Linked DNA regions of Xenopus tropicalis. The protein of the gene in region 5 purifies or fractionates together with the protein of the main gene of each other region. This does not show direct contact. Links are inferred from orthologs where the notes say so. Each region holds a gene or a part of one and is shown on either strand. Other genes may lie near its edges.

The links.
Region 1: the proteins of adra1d (region 5) and dtna purify together in Homo sapiens (tandem affinity purification; 4 studies listed by BioGRID and IntAct, with this or other methods). This does not show direct contact. The link is inferred for Xenopus tropicalis from reciprocal best matches to the Homo sapiens genes ADRA1D and DTNA.
Region 2: the proteins of adra1d (region 5) and ctnnal1 purify together in Homo sapiens (tandem affinity purification; 3 studies listed by IntAct, with this or other methods). This does not show direct contact. The link is inferred for Xenopus tropicalis from reciprocal best matches to the Homo sapiens genes ADRA1D and CTNNAL1.
Region 3: the proteins of adra1d (region 5) and sntb1 purify together in Homo sapiens (tandem affinity purification; 4 studies listed by BioGRID and IntAct, with this or other methods). This does not show direct contact. The link is inferred for Xenopus tropicalis from reciprocal best matches to the Homo sapiens genes ADRA1D and SNTB1.
Region 4: the proteins of adra1d (region 5) and utrn purify together in Homo sapiens (tandem affinity purification; 4 studies listed by BioGRID and IntAct, with this or other methods). This does not show direct contact. The link is inferred for Xenopus tropicalis from reciprocal best matches to the Homo sapiens genes ADRA1D and UTRN.

What each region holds. Positions count from the first base shown.
Region 1 is NC_030682.2:112,830,005-112,833,717, reverse strand, and holds part of dtna (dystrobrevin alpha), read right to left. Parts: intron 2,982-3,713; coding exon 2,892-2,981; intron 804-2,891; coding exon 635-803; intron 1-634. UniProt on the Homo sapiens protein: May be involved in the formation and stability of synapses as well as being involved in the clustering of nicotinic acetylcholine receptors.
Region 2 is NC_030682.2:76,846,545-76,850,867, forward strand, and holds the end of ctnnal1 (alpha-catulin), read right to left. Parts: intron 1,701-4,323; coding exon 1,536-1,700; 3' UTR 688-1,535; downstream 1-687. UniProt on the Homo sapiens protein: May modulate the Rho pathway signaling by providing a scaffold for the Lbc Rho guanine nucleotide exchange factor (ARHGEF1).
Region 3 is NC_030682.2:138,634,301-138,638,013, forward strand, and holds part of sntb1 (beta-1-syntrophin), read right to left. Parts: intron 2,800-3,713; coding exon 2,592-2,799; intron 1-2,591. UniProt on the Homo sapiens protein: Adapter protein that binds to and probably organizes the subcellular localization of a variety of membrane proteins. May link various receptors to the actin cytoskeleton and the dystrophin glycoprotein complex.
Region 4 is NC_030681.2:45,719,872-45,723,584, reverse strand, and holds part of utrn (utrophin), read right to left. Parts: intron 2,373-3,713; coding exon 2,264-2,372; intron 1,287-2,263; coding exon 1,200-1,286; intron 1-1,199.
Region 5 is NC_030677.2:11,904,285-11,908,694, reverse strand, and holds the start of adra1d (alpha-1D adrenergic receptor), read right to left. Parts: upstream 2,833-4,410; 5' UTR 2,388-2,832; coding exon 1,445-2,387; intron 1,431-1,444; exon of another isoform or gene 1,322-1,430; intron 1-1,321. UniProt on the Homo sapiens protein: This alpha-adrenergic receptor mediates its effect through the influx of extracellular calcium.

The DNA.
Region 1 (3,713 bases), on a different chromosome or scaffold from region 5:
TCTTGTTCTGAAATGGGGATTTTGGAACATAAAGCAGTACAACTGGGCTTATATAAAGGACACCCAGTATTCACTGAGTTTAAACAGAAGGGAATTTGCTCTTGTCATTTGGCTACTTTTAGAGCTAAAAGAGGTTTTGTAATAAAGGTTTGCCCTGGGGCAGTAACCTATAGTAACCAATAAGCAAGTACAATTTTCTGGTCACCTATTTAAAAGCAAACATCTTATTGGTTGCCATGGATTACTGCTACTGGGCAAACGTTGCCTTTTATGGAATACATGTGTATAGGAATCCAGATGTACTGAACCAAGTATTGCATTTAGGTCCAAGTATTAAACCAAGTATTGAATTTTGGTCCTGTCATGGAACAAGGCATTTTTCTTGGTTAGAGATGTTGGAACTCTGGTGTCTTTAGATGTAGATAATTAGTGGAGAACTCCTGGTCAGTATTCTTACCATCAGCAGCTCATAGGACACAAGTGCAGTTCTAATAAAAACATTTTTTTTAGGTTGTGGAAAGTTCCAAATTTTGCCCTTATGAATGTTCTACAGTCTTCATAAAGGAAAGCCCAAGGCTCTGTATTGTTAGCAAGAAACATGTCATTGTTGTAATGCATTGAAACAAATACATACAAGTCAGTGCGAATGTTGCCAGTAGCAGCAGAATGATGATTAAACCCTGGTTTTCGTGCATGGATCTGGGCAAGGAATGCCTTCTCTGAGGTTGGGGAAGGAACCAAATCATCAAAATGAACACGGCCATATTCGGTATCCACACCACACTCTGTTTCATTTCCAACATCTACAAAAGAAATATCTGGTGTTTATCTGGTGTTTACCTTCCCTCTCAAACCACATACAGAAAATTCACTGATCCACACTTACAGGTGATGCCAAAGGAGACTTTTGCACTTTATAAAGTGCAAAAGTTTCTTGTGACTTATTGGACAAATGTAAACATAGGTATTTGCAAATAACTAGTATTAATAAACGACTCAGTGCTCTCTGGATAAAATAACACCCACATACAGAGCATTAGATGCTGAATAGCTTGTGTTAACACCCACCTGGCAGGATAAGTTCTTAATTTATCCGTATGTGACGTACAAACAGCAATCAGTAAAGCAGAAGGAAATGCTAAATGTCAAGCCTCATTCAGGATGAATCAGAAGTGCAAGTTAAGGCTTTAATAATGTCAGAATTTGTTCATGCTAATGTACAGCCCATATTGTAGCTATAGTAAGGCTGCTATAATATATACCTATTTGTTTTACCTGAATAGGCCAATATTTACCATGAATGCTCTTCTCAGTTATTTTGCTAATCATAAAATAATTTGAATTTGGTTTAATTTACAGTATGTGTCCTGGGGAGTCTGCAAGTGACACAACTTTGATCACTAAAACGTTAAGGGTATCCATATCTCTGAAGCAGAAAGCTCATCAAATGATTCAGTCTATAAAAGCCTCTACCTGCTCCCTTCACATGCTATATTACAAAATAGAACTGCAAGCTTATTCCAACTGAATCATTATGTTGGGCTGAAAACCCCCAACTTCAGCTGATTCTTCCTCTTTTTCTTCTTCTTATTCTTAGCGCCCCCCATTTTCTAAACGCCACTCCTCCTACAGTTTTAGGGGTGCTGCCATTCTCACAGTAATAACACCAGGGTCCCCAAACTTTGCAGGGTTAGGCACCAGGTAACTGTGGTTCAAGGTTAGAAAAAGCGGGCGGAGCCACCAATAGCAAATCAGATTTTACCTATTGACTTTCAATGGGGATATTCAACCTGCTGCCATTCTGACAGAATTAACACCAGGGTCCCCAAACTTTTCACAGTTGGTCACTAGGGGACCGAAGGTTTAGTATGGAAAAGTGGGCGGAGCCACCAACAACCAATCAGATTTCACCTATTTAAGTCTACTGGTTTGATGCCAGGATCCCCAAACTTTGCACAGTCAGTCACTGGGTGACTACATACTCAATGTTAGAAAAAGTGGGTGGGGCTGCCAAAAGCCAATCACATTTCTTTCATTGTTTTCAATGGGATAATTTTAACTGCTGCCATTCTCACGTGTTTAATGTCAGGGTCCCAAAACTTTGCCCAGTTTGTCACTGGGTGACTATGTTCCAAGTTTAGAAAAGTGGGCGGGGCCAACAGCCAATCAGATTTCACCTATAGACTTCATATGTTTAAATTTAAACTGCTGCCATTCTTTATATATTAATACTAAGGTCCCCAAACTTTGCAGAGCTAATCACCAGGTAACTGTGGTTCAGACAGATAGTTCAGAGTATCTAGATATAACTGTAACTGTAAATAACTGAAATAGCTTGTGTTTACATGACATGTTACTTGCCAGAAGTGCCAGTGTTTTTTATTGTTTTTTATTGTTACTGTGAATTCTTTGAAGCCTCCTTCAAAGTGACCTTATTCATAGAAGCCTTCTTTGAAGAACATCACTTAAAGGGTCAGTCTATCATCTTTTTGAGTATAAACTCAATGAATAAGACGGCTGAACACACTATTTCATATTAATTACAGAAATATCTTTGGTTTTTATATTTCTTTCACAAAACATGTCAAAGATTGAATTTGAAGCCAACTTTCACTTTCCAGCTTCCTGGCTACCAGCTACCAATCCAAAGATAAGCCAATTGGTTAATGAGCTGCTCCTCGCATCAGTTTGGGTAAAGGATGGGTTTGTTTATGCAGAGCTTAATATCGCTTTTTAATTAACCTATTGCGAGGCGGAAATGCGGGGAGAGGTTGTTCAGGAAAAAACAAAAGAACACATTTTCAACACAAGTTCTATTCACTGTGGTCATGTTGAGCAGTGCTGTATATGGGTGTATACTGACCTCACTGTGTTTAGCGCTAGACACTCACCTGACTTCAGCTCTTTAACCAGAGAAGACATAGTATTGGTAATGGAATCAGCTGCTACAAGTAAATCATTACGTAAATTTCTCCTTGCACCTGGAGAAGAAGAGAAAATATATGTGAATATCAGTTAATATAAGCAAAGATAGTTAAAAAAAACTGTAATATTTAGACTGTCAATGTTTTGCTCTTATATCAGATTAGCTTACGTTATGGGTCAGAGTTAGATGAAAAGGGGCAATGTAAAACTAGGGAAAATGATCCGAGTGGAGAAGAATGCTGTTAAACTATATCTCCCAAGCACCCCCTTCTAACACCCAAACCTGATGGATTGTTAGAGTTGCAGCTTGATGACAACAACTTTTTTAAACGATTTTAAAAAATACAAGTTTCAGTTTCAAGACATGCATCCATTTCACGTTTTGGTGTAAATTAAACCAGCCTAACTGATCCAGAGTTAAGTGAAAAAGCATCATGTGATACCTCTCCAGTTTGCCACACAAGGAGAAAAATTTATCTTGACTGGATCACTCAAGGTATTTACACAGGGGATTGGGGACTGGGCTGGCAGCCGACCAACAAGCGTTCCTGGTACGTTTATCTACAGTCTGGACCCCAGGAACCCTGGGAAATCAGGACAAATGGTCTTCTCTCCCTTAACACCAACAGACTGAATTTTAGAGGGATCATTTTAAAGTGGAGCAATAAGTGGCACAGAAATACAAGCTATGCTTTTACACTGTTGATTGCTTTGTGCAAAGTTAATTCTAGTTTATGTACATTTATAACTACATGCACCAAAACTTTTACATATGGAATTTACACCAA
Region 2 (4,323 bases), on a different chromosome or scaffold from region 5:
AGTCCATACCTTATATGTGGTTGGGTTGTATGCTACCCCTAAAATAATGCACTCTAGATCCTGGCCTACCCACAAATCCCAGCCTGTGTAAGATTTGCAAGAATATCTGTACTTATTTAAACTGAACTTGAAGGTCATTTATAGGATAACTATGGCTGAATGGTGGCTACAGCAATCCTTTCATATATTTCTTTAAGCCAAGATGTGAAAATAACATCTAGCTTGAGAAGGTATTACTGATAGGCCTCCTTTTGTGTGTTGTACCTACACATGCACCTAAAAAAATTGAGCCATTAACTTGGCTCCAATTTTTGTAACCCGCACCCCACATTTTTACCTTTTGGACATAATGAAACAGGAAGTGATATCTTCAGAAGTAGGCGGGATAAAAAGGTTTAAAGGAGTAAAACTTGCTATATAGGAGACTAGCTGACCCACGCCTATACCCACATACATTATTGGCTTACAGGGAAATAACAAATCGTATTCGACGATGCTAGCAAATGATGTAACTTGTGTGCATTTTACCAAAGCATCATCTTGGGAAAACATTGCATGGCATGCTATTTTGTGGGCATGTGGGATTACACATGAATTCTGAGAAATAATGCTGCAATGTTAGTAAGAAAATGCTAAATTCACATTGTTTGTATTGAGTATTTAAATGAAATCTAACTTGACCACACAAAAGATTCATTAGAATTTTATTTTAAAAATAGAATCTTACATTGTAAATGTTAATGTAAAAAACTACATTTTCATGAAACTTAAATATGGTTTACATTCTGAGGAAAAGATACATTTGAGTGTTTTGATTCTTTACATGCATCTCAACTCTTACAAAGAAAAGTAAAATAATCTTGAGACCAGCATATCTGAAAGTAGGAAGAGCTTCACAAGAGATTGACAATTTAATCATCATCCTCATCTTCATCTCCCCGCAGCAAAAACCTCACAAGGGATCCACAAGCTTTTTTATATGTAACCAAAAATAGTTCTCTGCTTCAATGAATGTAAAGATTCCAGCAGCAAACTCTAAAATGAATGACAGGTGGCAGCAGAACAAGTTGTGAATGGAGTGTGCTGTGTTGTGCATATAGAAGTGGCACTTGCCTGTAAGGGAGTGGGCAACCAGTGCTTTTAGACCATGACGTATTGTCCTGATACAGGTAAACAGATACATTACACTTGAAAAAACCAACCAGTAAGTATTGGAAATGGTGACAGCAACTTGTGTAACAGCAATTTCATAAAGTTTGTTTCTGCATATCACAATTATACAAACAATAGCAGCATCTTTGGGTTAAGGTTTTCATTAAGACATTTTTAACAAATAATGATATCCATATAACGGCAGTAATGAGCTGAACGGAACACAAACAATTCTTAATGACTGATTGTGGTACCAATAACAAAAGAAGAAGGAAAAAAAATGCTGATGTTCACATCCTTAGTCTGGCTCTTGCCCTTTACAGTATAATGATGCTTTGCTTCCACTATCCTTTTCATTTACACTTCTGTTAAAATAGAAATGGCTACTTGCTCTCTAGAAATGTCAGATTAGCCACATGGTGTTCCAATGATTTAACTCCAAATGCTTCTACAGTTCTGCCCTCCATGCTGTCTTCATTTGTAATATTTTGAAGACAGTTTTCCCTCCAAGATGGAGAACTTTGGAAACATCCATTACCTGTTTTGCACTGGAAAATAAAGCAATACAATGTTAATGTATTCTAACCACCATTTCAAAGGCTATTTTAATGGAATAAAAACTATTATATATTATTCTCTTAAGTGCATATCACTTGCAGTAATCAAAGCCTGGACAAGTGATACTGTAAATATGTATATCTTGTTCCAATAATTTGGGCTACCCAAAACAAAAGCCTCCATATACTTACTTGTTTGGTAAATAAGTGTTAAGGTTTTAGTAAGAGCTTCATTTCTCCCTCTATAAACACAATACCTCTCTCAGTTGACAGATTTACAGTATCACATTCCCAGACTTTGATTATTACCTCAAGCGATCTGCATACAACCTTTATTAGAATGCCACAAGCGTAGTCTTTGGTGATGAACATTACACTCAATATAACAGTCTTAATCTAACACCTCTACAGTATTACTAATAAATAAGTAAGTGGTCTAATCACCATGCCACCCAATCTGGATCTATTCAGTAACTGGGTAGCATTACAGGAAAATCCCAGTGCAATAGCCACCCCGTTCACACTCATGATTTAATAGATCATCAAATATAGCTACAACACTGACACTATAAATGAGATCTTAAACCTTTGCTGAGGAGTTGAAACTTATGGGGTGCCGTTTGTCTAAGTACATTTTGTCTATAAAAATACATTCTATATACAAAAAGCAATCCCCAGTAGACAGAATTAAAGTGTGGATATAAACACTGGTAAAAATATACCAAAGATATATATTTCTAGTGAAGAATGAGATCAAAAACAATTTTATGCACAAAAGGATATTATATTACAAACTTCATTCTGTAAATTTTAAAAAGCATTCTGTCTCACAAATGCATAACATCCATACAAAAAAATGTGTAAAGTTACTTACAGAATGAATAATGTAAAACAAAATTTCGACAAAATATATAATGGTGTAACTGAATAGCATATTCCAGCTAGATTTTCATGACAAAATAGATGCGTGTGACAGAAAGCAAGATTATATAGCACAGAACTCATTCTATCAACAAAATGAATACATGATTCCACAAAACTGATAAAATATCCATTCTGTAAAACAACACTGTCAATCAAATTCCTGAACCAATAAGAAACAAGCATGTTCATTATCCAATAATATGCAGGTTTTAACTGGAGTCAATTTACTGTTTTTATTTGTCTATAAAGTGTTGCCAGCTCTGCCCCACAAGCCTACATTATCCCTAGTGCTGAGGATACTGTCTGGCCTGCTATAGAGGGCACCCTCTAATGTCTGCTGTGTTATAGGTTTTTAACCAGAAGGTCTTTCAAATGGATGAGGAATATAGTGCTGTACTGATGCTGCGTCACAACACTGATGTAATGATGTTTCTGATAATGAGCTTTAAAGAAAACAAAAAACATTAATACGATAACTTAAGGCTATTCCTTTTATCTCCTAGCCTAACCAATCATTATAATATGCCTAATATTTCCTCATTAACATACAAGTCAATAAAACACATTAGGGTTGATTCACTAAGGAGCGATGAGCGATATGCGTTATTGCATGCTTTTTTGTGTTAAAATAAACGCGAAAAAAACGTGCGATTCGCTAAAGTATTATCGCATGCGTTAAGTCGCATATCGTGTGCGTTAAATAACGTGCAACCGAATGCGTTAATTTTAACGCATTACGTTAATTAGCGAATGAAAAGAAAACGCATGATTCACAAAAGCGCATGAAGTGTTAAATGCATTAATTAGCGTGCAAGTGTGTGCGTATTTTAGCACCTAATTGGGGGAGGCGTTGTGCAGACCACATTTTTAATTTTTTGTTGGAAAAAGGCAAGATGGAGTTTGCAATGGGGTTTTTGCTCTATTTGGAGGAGGAACATCAAGTCCCCGAGCCTTCCAGAGTGATTTGTCGGGAAAGGACAACTTTGGAGGGCTTAAACGAGGATGAAGTGGTCAGGCACTACAGGCTCAATAGGGTGGCAATATCCAGCCTGTATGAGCTGCTTGAGCCTTCCCTGCAGCCACTGACTCGCAGAAGCCATGCAGTTCCCGGAATGGTGAAACTGCTGTGCTCCCTGCACTTTTTGGCCACTGACAGTTTCCAGAGGGTTGGTGGGTTTACGGGGGGTGTCACAGCCCACCTTTTTCACGGTGCCTTGGTCAGGTCCTGGACGCCATACGCTCGGTGTCTTGGAATTTCATCTTGTCCCCCAAAAATCGGAACAAGTGGAATGCTGTGAAAAGGCAGTTTTATGGGTTAAGTGGCATCCCAAATGTGTCCGGGGACAAATTGTTACCAATTGCTTTTCCTGTAAGTACCAACAATCTTTAATCCCCTAAACAAGAAATAACAAACAACTTCTCCAAAAAAAAAAAAAGGTTTTATTTACCGGGAAATTATTTTTTATTATTGGTGTGCGTGACTCGCCTGTTGGAGGCTTAACATGGCAGCCTTGTGTGCAGCTTGGCGTGCCTGACTGGCATTTGTAGGTGTTAGTGGCCACACACAAGTCGACATGCAATGTGTCCAACTTTTTCATTAAATTTTTATTATGCCTTATTAGAGATTTGTGGAACCTATCTTTCTCAGGTTCCTGGGGGGCCACATTAGCTGTGCTGCTTCTGGCCTGGG
Region 3 (3,713 bases), on a different chromosome or scaffold from region 5:
AGTCTGCGAGCGAAGGAGACGGATCCATCCCTGGCAATGTGCGCTCAGAACCCTACAGCCTCAACATATATTCTAATCCGGTATTTCATTAAAGGACAAATAAACCTTAAATAGAATATTTAGGGGATGGTTTAACATTTACACTATTTTTTAAAATGTAATTTTTTTTTCTAATGCAGAATATAATAAATATAATACTAGAAAGGTACATTTCCTGAAGAAAATGTGAGTGGTGCTTGCCGTGGCAAAACTCGTGCCCCAATATTACAATGTTTCCTTCAGTTTTGTTAATTGCCCCCTGCTTGGGCAATTATCCTCCCACCCCCATAGAAAAGTCATTGCACCCCATTCCCGAATAAGCCGCACGGTTTGACACCTCATTCATTTGTCTATGACAAACGGTGGTTAATTGCCCCCTGCTGGGGCAATTAACATCCCACCCCTCACAAAAGTCATAGCACCCCATTCCCGAATAAACCGCACGGTTTGACAACTCATTCATGCGTCTACGACAAATGGTGCGGGAGTCAAAGTTGCTCTCAATGTTAAGTCTATGGGCGGGTAATTGCCCCCTGCTGGGGCAATTAACCGCCCACCCCTCAGAAAAGTTATAGCACCCCATTCCCGAATAAGCCGCATGGTTTGACACCTCATTCATGGGTCTACGACAAACGGTGCGGGACTCAGTCAAAGTTGGTCTCAATGTTAAGTCTATGGGCGGATAATTGCCCCCTGCTGAGGCAATTAACCGCCCACCCCTCAGAAAAGTCATAGCACCCCATTCCCGAATAAGCCACACAGTTTGAAACCTCATTCATGGGTCTACGACAAACTAGTTATTTGCCAAAATCCCCATTATAAGTCAATGGGGCAAATCTGGGGACCTCTCTTGCCCCGGGGGTAAAACTTATACCCTTGTGCGGGGTATCTTCTGACACAGGTTGCAAATCTCTTCAAAAAGTCATAGCACCCCATTCCCGAATAAGCCGCATGATTTGACACCTCACTCATGGGTCTACGACAAACGGTGCGGGACTAGTTACGTACCGAACTTTGTACGGAAGAAGAAGAAGAAGAATAAGCCTGTGAGATAATAGTAGTGATGCTTTGGTTCGCAAGCACCACTAATAATAAATAATAATATAATATAATAAAAGTTTGCCCAGGTGTAGTAACCCATAGCAACCAATCAGCAGAATTTGCTAGTCACTTGTTTAAAAGCATACATCGTATTGGTTGCTATAGGTTACTGCTACTGGGTAATCTTAGTGCCTTTTTTTTACATATGCGGGGGTAAAGTCTATTTCACTGGGGGGGGGGGTGCCAAAATATTGGGCAACCCCCCCCCCAATGAAATAGACCACTCCTGTTAGGAGAAAAATGCACCATAATTAAAAAAAAAAAAACAACCACCGCCAAAGATGTGCCTTGTAAATCCAGTGGCTGAGCGGGGCGGGGGTGAGGGGAATCCTTAGCACTGGAGACGTCACTCACACTCATAAAGATCCAGAATGGAAAGGTAAGTATTGCAAAATAAAAGCAATAAAAACAGCCTCACAGTAAAGTTGCCCATACATGGCCCAATAAATGCTGATAAATTGCCCCCTCCAGACTGAGTTGTCAGCTTATTAGCCCATGTAAAGGGCACTTGCAACCAATATCTGTCTGAAAATTAGCCAGATATCTACTGGCCAGGTTGATAGGACTACTGTATGATTTGATAAATGTGCATTTTAGCCCAATATATACTCCTAAGCTGATAAGAGATAACCTTTATTGGGATACATTAAGTGGATAAAGTGACCCCCCTTAATTTATAATGCCAGTGGTACTGGCCTAAAGACTTGCTGCTCTTGTGATTAACAGATTATTTTATAGGGGTATCATTTATACCCCAGGGCCAGAGCTTGGGGTATGCAGAGTAGGCAGCTGCCTCGTGTGCTGCAGATAGGGAGGCACAATTTGAAGAAAAATAACGATACAGCTGCTCCCGTCTGCTACTAATGCGTCATACATTAATTTCTGTAAAGTGAGTGGAAGTAGCCCGCAGCAGGGGCAGCAGTGGGAAGGGGGCTCCAACTGCTGGAAGAGAAGTTGCTGCGGCAGGTGGGTAGGTGGTAGGGAGGGGGAGAGTGGGAACCAGGGCAAGAGCCTTGCCTTGGGTGCAAGTACCTTTTGGCCTGGCACAGTTGTGCCCATTGCAGTATCCCAGGGTCTATCACTACTGATAAGTAAACCTACTAAAAGCAAAAAGCTCAGGGTGCTTTTCTAAGCACTTTAAGTTTTAATTAACTGCTTGTCTTATGAACCTTGTAACTAAAGCACCACTCATTGGTTAGTTTTTCCATCTGTGCAGTCAGAGGGATATTTCAGAAGGTAAACAGAGAACTCTTCTGATGTTGCTCTGCTCAGGAAAGAAATTGGATTAGGTTCATGATCTCTTTCCAGAGCAGAGAAACATCAGATCTGTTTCCTTCTGAAAAACGTAATTTGTCAGCGTAACTTGACAGTGACGTAGATTCTGTCTCTTTAACACTGGCCACAGCTCTATAACATAAATGCACAGTTAGGCACTGAGTGCTGTTACTTGCCTTTTCCGCCAGCCAGCCCAAATGTCCAATATCCGTGCTTCCCGAGATCCCGGTTTTCCCTAATTGTTCTTTAACTTCCGTTATCACCCTGCTGACCAGATCGGAGGCAGCTGAGTGTATAGCATTAAACCAGGCCTGCGCGGTGACTGGGTCAGAACTTCGGAGGACAACCGTGTGCTTTGCGTCAGGTGAATGCAACTCCAGATTTCTGCAAATACAAATAGAAAAAATGAGTAATCCTCCCCCACATCGGATCCTTGCTCCTGCACCAAGACCAAGACCCCTGTACATGCTCCGTTAGTAACACTATGAGGAAGCTTCCTGCTGATTGGCTCAGATCCACATTCCTAAGGGGGGGAGGGAGTTCTTAGCATTCTTGAGGGAGAGGGAGCAGGAGAGGGGAGAGAGCTGCGTGTTTCTGGCACAGGAAAACAAAGATAACAAATCTTTTGACAGAGGACTCAGTGCAGCGTTTCTGTGAATGCTTATGGCTGTATTTACATAGACCTTTCTGATAAAGCTTACTTAGTTGTTACCTTTCCTTCTCCTTTAAAAACCCAGTGGGTGAGCTTTAGTCTATAGATAAACCCATGTAAATGGGATTTTCTAAGAGCTTGTTTGGAATTCATTCCCAGAATTCTGTTTATTTGTATGTGTATGAGGCAGTCTCCTCAACCCTAATGATTTGTTTGTGAATTCACACTAGTTTGTAGAAGAATGATCCACATGTTGACAGTGGCATAACTACTGGAAGAGCAGGCGGCAGTGTGTGGCGGGAAGTCATGTTTGGGGCAGGGGCAAATTAATTATTTCTTTAGTCTTTGGCTGTACCCTGATGCCACCCATTATCTGCCCAATCACCAACCCCCAATCCACCCCAGATCTACTTCATTCCTTCCCTTGGAATTAAGGGTCCAGGCAACTACCCGGATTGCTCTTATGCAAATCTGCCACTGGAAGGTCAGCACTAGGCTTCAAAACAGACCCTGGCATTCCAAGCACACAGAGGCCCAAACAGCCCCCCCAGCCCAATAAATAGTGACTGCCTATGGCATCTTACAGTAGCCCCTCTGGCATTGGCCAGAACCCAGAGATTGCCAGTCTGGGCCTGGGTCCTGGCAT
Region 4 (3,713 bases), on a different chromosome or scaffold from region 5:
CGTGCATGGCTTATTTAAAATTAATCTTAACACTTCCTTTCAATATTGCTGTGCTGCCTGTTATCTGGTAAGACAAAGCTGGCAAGGTGCGAGGGTGAAAATAGGGATTTGCATTGCTGAAGGGAGCGACATTTGCAGCCTTCGATAGCATTTTGGCAGGGCCTCACCGCTGGCTAATAATTCTGATTTGTAAGTACTTTCCGAGAGTAAGAAGGAACAAAATGAGCACAGGAAAAAAATAAGGAATTATAAGGTGCGTTAAGTATGAAACACACCAACTGTAGGTATAGCAGTAAAAGGCAAATAGAACATTTTATTGTAGCTGAAAACAAGTTACAAGTAACAAGTTATTAAAAAGTAAATATAAAGTGAATAAAAAAACCCTATTGTAAAATATAGGGATATAATAAGTCACTGAGGAGTTCCACGATTTTATAAAGCATGAGGCTGAAGGCCGAGGCAACTTATAATATTCTCTTATTTTTCAACAGGGAGAACATTATTTATAATAATACACACGTTTCAATGAGTCTGTGACAGGAATTACATCGCTTAGCACCAATAAGAGCTGATGACATCACTAAGCACCCTTTATAAGGACTCTTGTGTTTATCCTTCTAATGACATATATAACTGATTTATTAACAATAACAATATACTGTAATTACCCCAACTGCACATTAATCGTTTAAGCGATCAACCTTTAATCATTACACATTCTCTACCTTCGCCTACGGCTATGGTTGCCAGACCTTTTTTTTTTAGTTCAAGGCCCACCATTTAGCTCATAATAAGATCACAGATATTTAAAAACTTTGGTTTACCATTCATTCAGCCACAGTTCCAAGAAAATCTAAAACATCAAGCAAATTTTCACTGACCATTAAGCTGAGTTTTCAGCTATATCTAGCAAAGAAAACAGCCATTTTCTCCAAATATCTCCCTAACTGCTACTACAATTTGGGAACCACAGTCCTAGAGTGGGTCTAAACATGCTCCAATGTTGCAATGCTTTAAATAAATAGAAATACTTTCAACATTATAAAAACAAGTGGAAAACACACAAAAAAGGGCATAACATGCTATTAAAGTCTCACTAATATAAAGAGGATGTCAAATTGCTGTCCATAAGAACTAGTGTTGAAATATATCTCCCAACATACCTGTTGAAGCAAATGTATAAAGTGGGATTTACTTACAGCTGCTCAGGGGAAATGTGCTGTTGAATTGTTCCATCACATCTGTTAGGTCTGTGGCGGCGCTGTGCGGAGGGTGCAATACATCAACTGTGGGGCACATGCAAAGCAACATTAATAAGTGAAACAAACACAAAATAACTAGAATAGATCAGTGATACACAACCTTGGATTGAACAAGGTCTAGAAAAAAACTACAGGGAGCTGCAGTTCACTTCAGCAGCTAGGGTACAGGTTTGTTAGGCTTTGGCACAAAAAAAATACAAGGTTACTGAAATGGATCCATTCAAAGCTGACCCAGGTCCCCCAACCCCAAGCAAATAGGAGAGGTTTCAGGTGGTTTTTTTTGCCTTTCTTGTACTAACTCGCATTTGGGCAGGTTGTTTGGCAAGTTTCCCTTGGACAAAAAGGGACAAAAACAACAAAAAAAGACAAAAACATGGTGCACGTGTGTCTAATTATCTGATATAAATATAGCTGTCCCTTTGTGCCCCCCAGTTCTCCGTAGAAGTTGACAAAAAATATAATTATAGATGAAAAACAAATTATCAAAAAGAATTTTACAAATTTAACAAAAAACTGCATGAAAGAGAATTCACCAATGAAAACCGATTATATACGTTTTGTCAGTCATCTTGCTGTTATCTTACATATGGAGATAATTGGGACATTTTTGGCTTCATTACATTACACTGGAATCAGACAATGCTAGAAAAAAATGCTGAATTCTTCCAACTCCACTTGCAGGAACAAAGAATGCCATATTTAAACTGATCACTTGGGATTCACAATGGAGGATTATTTTGCAATATTTATTAAGCAACAGCATTATAAGAATACAGCTCTGATATTGCTGGAGTACACCTCTCAGCAGACCGTAGCCTTGATAATATGCTGGGATTTGTAGTTAACCAACAACTGAGTAAAGTGTGAGAACAGCAGTGTATCAGTGTTTAGTGTCCCTTTAATGAAGCATTATTTTAATGCCCCTGTATTTTCTTATTCCTTTGCTGTTAACTGGGGTGCTTTTGAGCTAAATCACTGTTTATTGGACACAAGCTACTTACCTGTCTGTTGAAACTGAGAGCTATAATCATGATCAGCTGAATATCTGGGGGCAGGCGGCTGTGGCGAGACAGATATAGAGACTCCATTAACCCTGGACTCTGATTCAGGCTGAAATGTAATGTAAAACAAAACACAAATAAAGAAGCAATCACCTTGAAATCCATTCTAATTCCTACAGGTATCAGCAGATGCACTGTGCCCACAGCTACAGAAAACAACACATTTTCTCCCAAGCTTCTGGTATAGCAAAAATGGCTTGATATTAACCTTCCCAGCTCAATGTATTTTATTTGCAATGATTTTCCAGTCTGCACTTAGCAAACATGAAATATTGTCTTCCGCTCTGCTATGCTTCAACTACCCTTCATTATAAAACTTAGTAAGTAGAGATATAGAAAATAAACCACATAAATATTATACATACATATAATGTTATACATATATATATACACATACACACACATACATACATAATATAAAATATATACATATATATATATATATATATATATATATTACATATATATATATATATATATATATATTTTATTTTTTTTTTGGCATTTATTAATATATTTATATTATATATAAAAAATAATCCAGACCAAGGCTTCTTTTAGAGATACAACCAGGCACAGTAAGATGGCAGATCAGCCTGTCTCAGTAGGTATATGGATATACTTGGCTAACAGGCCTATAACTCCATGCTGAGTTTGGTTCCTTATCGACAGGAATTTTCTAAAAGACATAGGGGCTAATTATACCTACCCAAAATAAGATTTTGGTGACATGCCCTGTTTTTTAAGCATTAAACAAAGTATCTGATTGCTAGTGTCCAATTTGACCTAGCAACTAGGCAGTGGTTTGAAAGAGGAATATGAATAGAGGAGGGCCTAAATAGAAAGATAAGTAATAAATAGTAGCAACAAAAATAAAATTGTAGCTTCAAAGAACAATAGTCAGTGACCCCCATTTGAAAGTGGGAATGTTGTAGAAGAGGAAGGCAAATAATTAAAAAACTATTACAAAAAATGAAGACCATTGGAAAAGTTGCTAAGCATGGGCCATTCTATAACATACTAAAAGTTAACCTAAAGGTGAACCACCCCTTTAAGGGTGGTAGTTTACTTCCCAGAATCTGCTTTACACAATAAAAATAATATGCTGTCCTTTTACCTATACACTACATATGAATGGATGCTGCAACAAGCATCTGCATGGTATGAATGTATGTTCTTTGCATATTATTTGTTTTCTATTTTAATTTCCAGATTCACCACGCTGGGTTACCTAGCAATATAGTAGGTGTCACCATAGTTACAGAAATACTACGGAATATCATCATAAATAATATCACATAGCTGTGCTAATTGCAATTTATTTGCAAAAGGTCAACTTTTCCCAAGTAAAAAAAAAAAAGGTCAGTTTTCTCTTATCTGAGGGACAGAA
Region 5 (4,410 bases):
GTCTGGGAGTAGGATCAGTGTATCCACTACTCTTTCATTCACTTACAATATAGACTTATATTATTATTATTACAATTATGTAGTCTGGCCATCCTCACTTTGCTGCCTGGTTGTGCCTAGTAACCCCCCCCCCCCCCCCATAATCCCCCCTGTACCCCCCTGTAGGGCCCTGCCAAGTACAGTGTAATTAAGCCAATCTCTCCCTGAGTGTAATGGGAATTCTAACGGCCGCTCTGCACTTCGTCAGCTGATCCCGAGCATCTCTGCTGTTTACACAAGGAAAGGGCAGTGTTAGTGTTTGGGTCAGTTGACCTTTATTTTGAATAAACAAGACAAGCAGCGTCCTGCCCTCTCTGCAATTCTGCCCCCAGTCAGGCTTGTTTGTGTTCCCTTCCACCCCTCCAACCCAAACAAATCAATTACCCCTACTAGGGACTCTCAGGCTTTGATAATTCTCCCAAGGGATGGGGCAGATCCAGCCCAGGAATTTACTGTGTATCTGCCACCCCCATGCCCCCGGCAACACCTTGGCAACAGCCCCGCTCTCCCCAGTCTGCCCCTATGGAATGGTGCTAAATATTTCCAGGGGCAGTAAACTGAACGATCAGGGAAATACCTGCCAGAAACATGAGCGGAGGTAGATCCTGATATAACTTGTAGACTTATTATTATTATTTATTTATAAAGCGCCAACATACCCCGCAGCGCTGTACAATAAGTGGGTTCCATACATTGGGCATACAGAGTAACATATAAAGCAATCAATAACCGATACAGGAGGGGAAGAGAGCCCTGCCCAAAAGAGCTTACAATCTACAAGACTAATGTAGTTCAGCTATGAGAAACAGGTGTTTTTGGGGACCCCCAGTGCACCCCAGACATTCTCTTATTTGGGTGACCCCAAAATTGGTATTAAAGTAATTTGATCAACGTTTTAACTGATAGGGGGGGTTCCAACATGGAATTTGAAAATGATATCTTGTTGCTAAGGACACTTTGCCTAGTGACGCTGAAAATCTGCAATACTATTGACGTTCAAAGTGCTGCCATATACCTTTAAACCTGTAACCCCCTTGAGACGTTTTTTAGAATTCCAACAATGTAAGGGAGGGGGGTATTTACCCCTGAGCCCTTGGGTCGTCGTTTTCTGCCTGTCGTAACTCTGCTAAACGACCAGAAAAACCACATCGCGATCGCTAAAGGTGAGAACTTTCCCAACAGAAATCGCGCTGCATTAGGCTATCAGTGAGTCGGAATGGGTCGGGAAGGGTCGGAGGGGGAAGAGACAAAGTTAAACATTAAGTCGGCACTTGGGACTTACCCAGCGGTAGGATAAGGAAGAAGGGGAGCCAGCAGAGGATGAACACCAGTGAGTCGGAATGGGTCGGGAAGGGTCGGGGGGGAAGAGACAAAGTTTAACATGAAGGAGGCACTTGGGACTTACCCAGCGGTAGGATAAGGAAGAAGGGGAGCCAGCAGAGGATGAACACCCCAACCACGATGGCCAAGGTCTTGGCGGCCTTCTTCTCCCTGGAGAATTTGAGGAGTCTGACGGACAGGGAGCTCCTGAAGGTATGACCCTTGTGGTTCCTGGTACTGGAGCTGGACTCCTCTAGGACACTTCTACAGTGGATCCTGAGCACCACCTCCATGGACTTGTTCCTTTCCTTCTTCACCCCAGCCTCCAGGCTCTTGGTAGTCCTCCTGGCCACTATGTAGACTCTGAAGTACATGACAAGGATGACCAAGAGGGGCAGGTAGAAGGAGAAGAGGGAAGAGAAGAGAGCGTATCCCGGCTCCTCTGTGATGCTACACTTGCTGTCATCTGGAGGTGGAGGCTCCTTCCAGCCCAGGAGAGGTCCGATGGAGATGACCATAGAAGACAACCAGAGCAGGATGAGGATGACCACAGCTTTCTTCTCGGTCATGATGGTGGGGTACTTCAGCGAGTACTTCACCCCGACATACCTGTCTATAGAAATGACGCAGAGGCTCATGATGGACGCAGTGCAGCAGAGGACATCCACCGCTGCCCAAATGTCGCAGAAGACCCTTCCGAACGCCCAGAAGCCCAGCACCTCCAGGGTGGCGGAGAAAGGCAGCACCGTGGTGCTGAGCAGAAGGTCGGCGATGGCCAGGTTGACGATAAAGTAGTTGGTGACTGTCTGCAGCTGCCTGTTGCAAGCCACCGACAAGATGACCATGATGTTGCCCACTATGGCAAAGAGGATGAAGACAGCCAGGACGATCCCGACACTTAGAGCCGGCAGGTCCAAGGCCAGACTCAGGGAGGTCCCGTTGGCATGGTCCTCAGTGTCATTATCCCCTCTAATGTGGGGTTCCGTGTGGTTTCCCACACTGTCATTGGTCAGGTCTGTAAAAGTCATGTTAACTCTCCATGGAATGGGGCTCAGTAAGTCATTCTGGTAGGGTTCTCCTACACTCACCCCTTCTTATCTCCTTCTCCCCAGAGAGGCCATCAGCAAAGTCCCTGGGGCAGTCACCAACTCCCACTGGGTGGCACATTCTCCAGCCTGCAGGGAGTTGGGAGCCAAGGGTGGCCCAGAGAGGCTCATGGGAGCAATGACTACAGACTGAGTGTGGGGGCTACTTGTCTCCTTCAGCAACTGCAGTGGCAACTCCTCCCCAAGCGTCTTAGGTGGAGGGTAACCCCCCCTGCCTGCCCTGCTGCTCCTGGAGTTCAAGGTAAGGCTCAGGGCTACCTGCTGGGGCTGGGTGCCATATGGCAGCGCTTCCCATCACCGTCCGGCGCTGCATTTGCTTTGGGGAAACTCAGCATGAATGGGAGAGAGGAGCTTCCTCACTGTAATTCATTCACTTCAACGTCTCCTCCTCCTCCTCCTTTCTGTGCTGCTCCGATAAAAATAGCAGTTGCAATACCCCCGGCGGACGTTAGGGAGCAGCAGAGAGACACCTAGATTTCTTTCATTCTAAAAAGAGAATTTTTAGATGCAGGTTTGGCTGGTCGCTGATAACCTTTAGGGGGAGGGATGGAAGAACTGATCCATATTTAGCCTGCTGCCGGGGTGCCTTTGTTACTGCTGCTGCCACTGTTCCTTTAATGATGTCCTGCTGCTGCTGCTGCATATACTGATTTATTAGGGTTACTTACCCTTTACTTGCTTTATACTTCAGTCCTTCTTGTGGATAAGTCGTACGGCTTCTGCTCTCCTCATTCTGCAGGTTGTAAGTATGTATGTATGTATGTATATGTGCTACTTATGTACGCAGCGCTGTACAGTAGAATACATTAATACAAACAGGGGGTTATTAAGAAAATAATAGATAAATACACAGTATTACAATGAACATAAATAAATAAAAGATACAGTTGCGATAAGGGTCAAAGACACAAGAGGATGGAGGTCCCTGCCCCGTAGAGCTTACAATCTATATATATATGTACAGTATGTGTCCTTTCCTTGGGCTGTTTTCCTTCCTATAGGGCCACAGCTGTCCGCAGGGGCCACACTTGCTTAATATATGTCCCTTGTGGGGCCCCATAGAAAAGCAGAGGCAAAAGTAAAGAAACTTTATTGCACCCCCCCAAGCCTGCAACAGTACGTATGTATGTATATCTTTATTTATAAAGCGCTTTTTACAGGGTCGGACTGGGGGGTGAAGGGCCCACCAGTGCCCACGCCCATAGCCCGCCCATATGGCCCGTGCCCATAGCCTCCCCCCCGAGGGGCCCCCCTAACCCCCCTCGCAGGGCCCCAACCCGATGTCCTTCCCCGAGAGCGTTAATTTAACGCGTTGGGGCAGAAGCGGTCGGGCAGGGGGAGCACCGCAAGGGTCGGGTTCGACCCTGGCTACTTATGTACGCAGCGCTGTACAGTAGAATACATTAATACAAACAGGGGGCTATTAAGGTAATAATAGATAAATACAAAGTATAACAATAAATACAAATAAATACAGATAAATACAGTTGCAATAAGTTAAGGTACAAAGACACAAGAGGATGGAGATCCCTGCCCCGTAGAGCTTACAATCTATATATATAACTTACTAAAACTCTATATCAGGGCTTTCTGACCAACTTTAACTCCCAGAGTCCTTCATAGGGCAAAGGGTGCTGGGAGTTGGCTAGGATAATGGGGTTCCAACACTTTAATACTAAAATAGCTTGGGGGTGTTCATTAGACTTTATTGTTTATATTTATTTACTATTCAATACAGAATAGTAAAATAAAATTAATTCTATAGCGTAGGGCATACAGGGAATATAATTGTTGCTGGAAATCTGCCTGTTATGGAATGTGCCCAAAAACGAAAAAAATGTTCATTGGATGGTAACCGACCATTAATTTCTTAGCAACCATTGAATATACGTCAGTGCTTAATTACTGCTTAGTTTGTTGGAAACGTGGGGTCTATGGGCCCAGA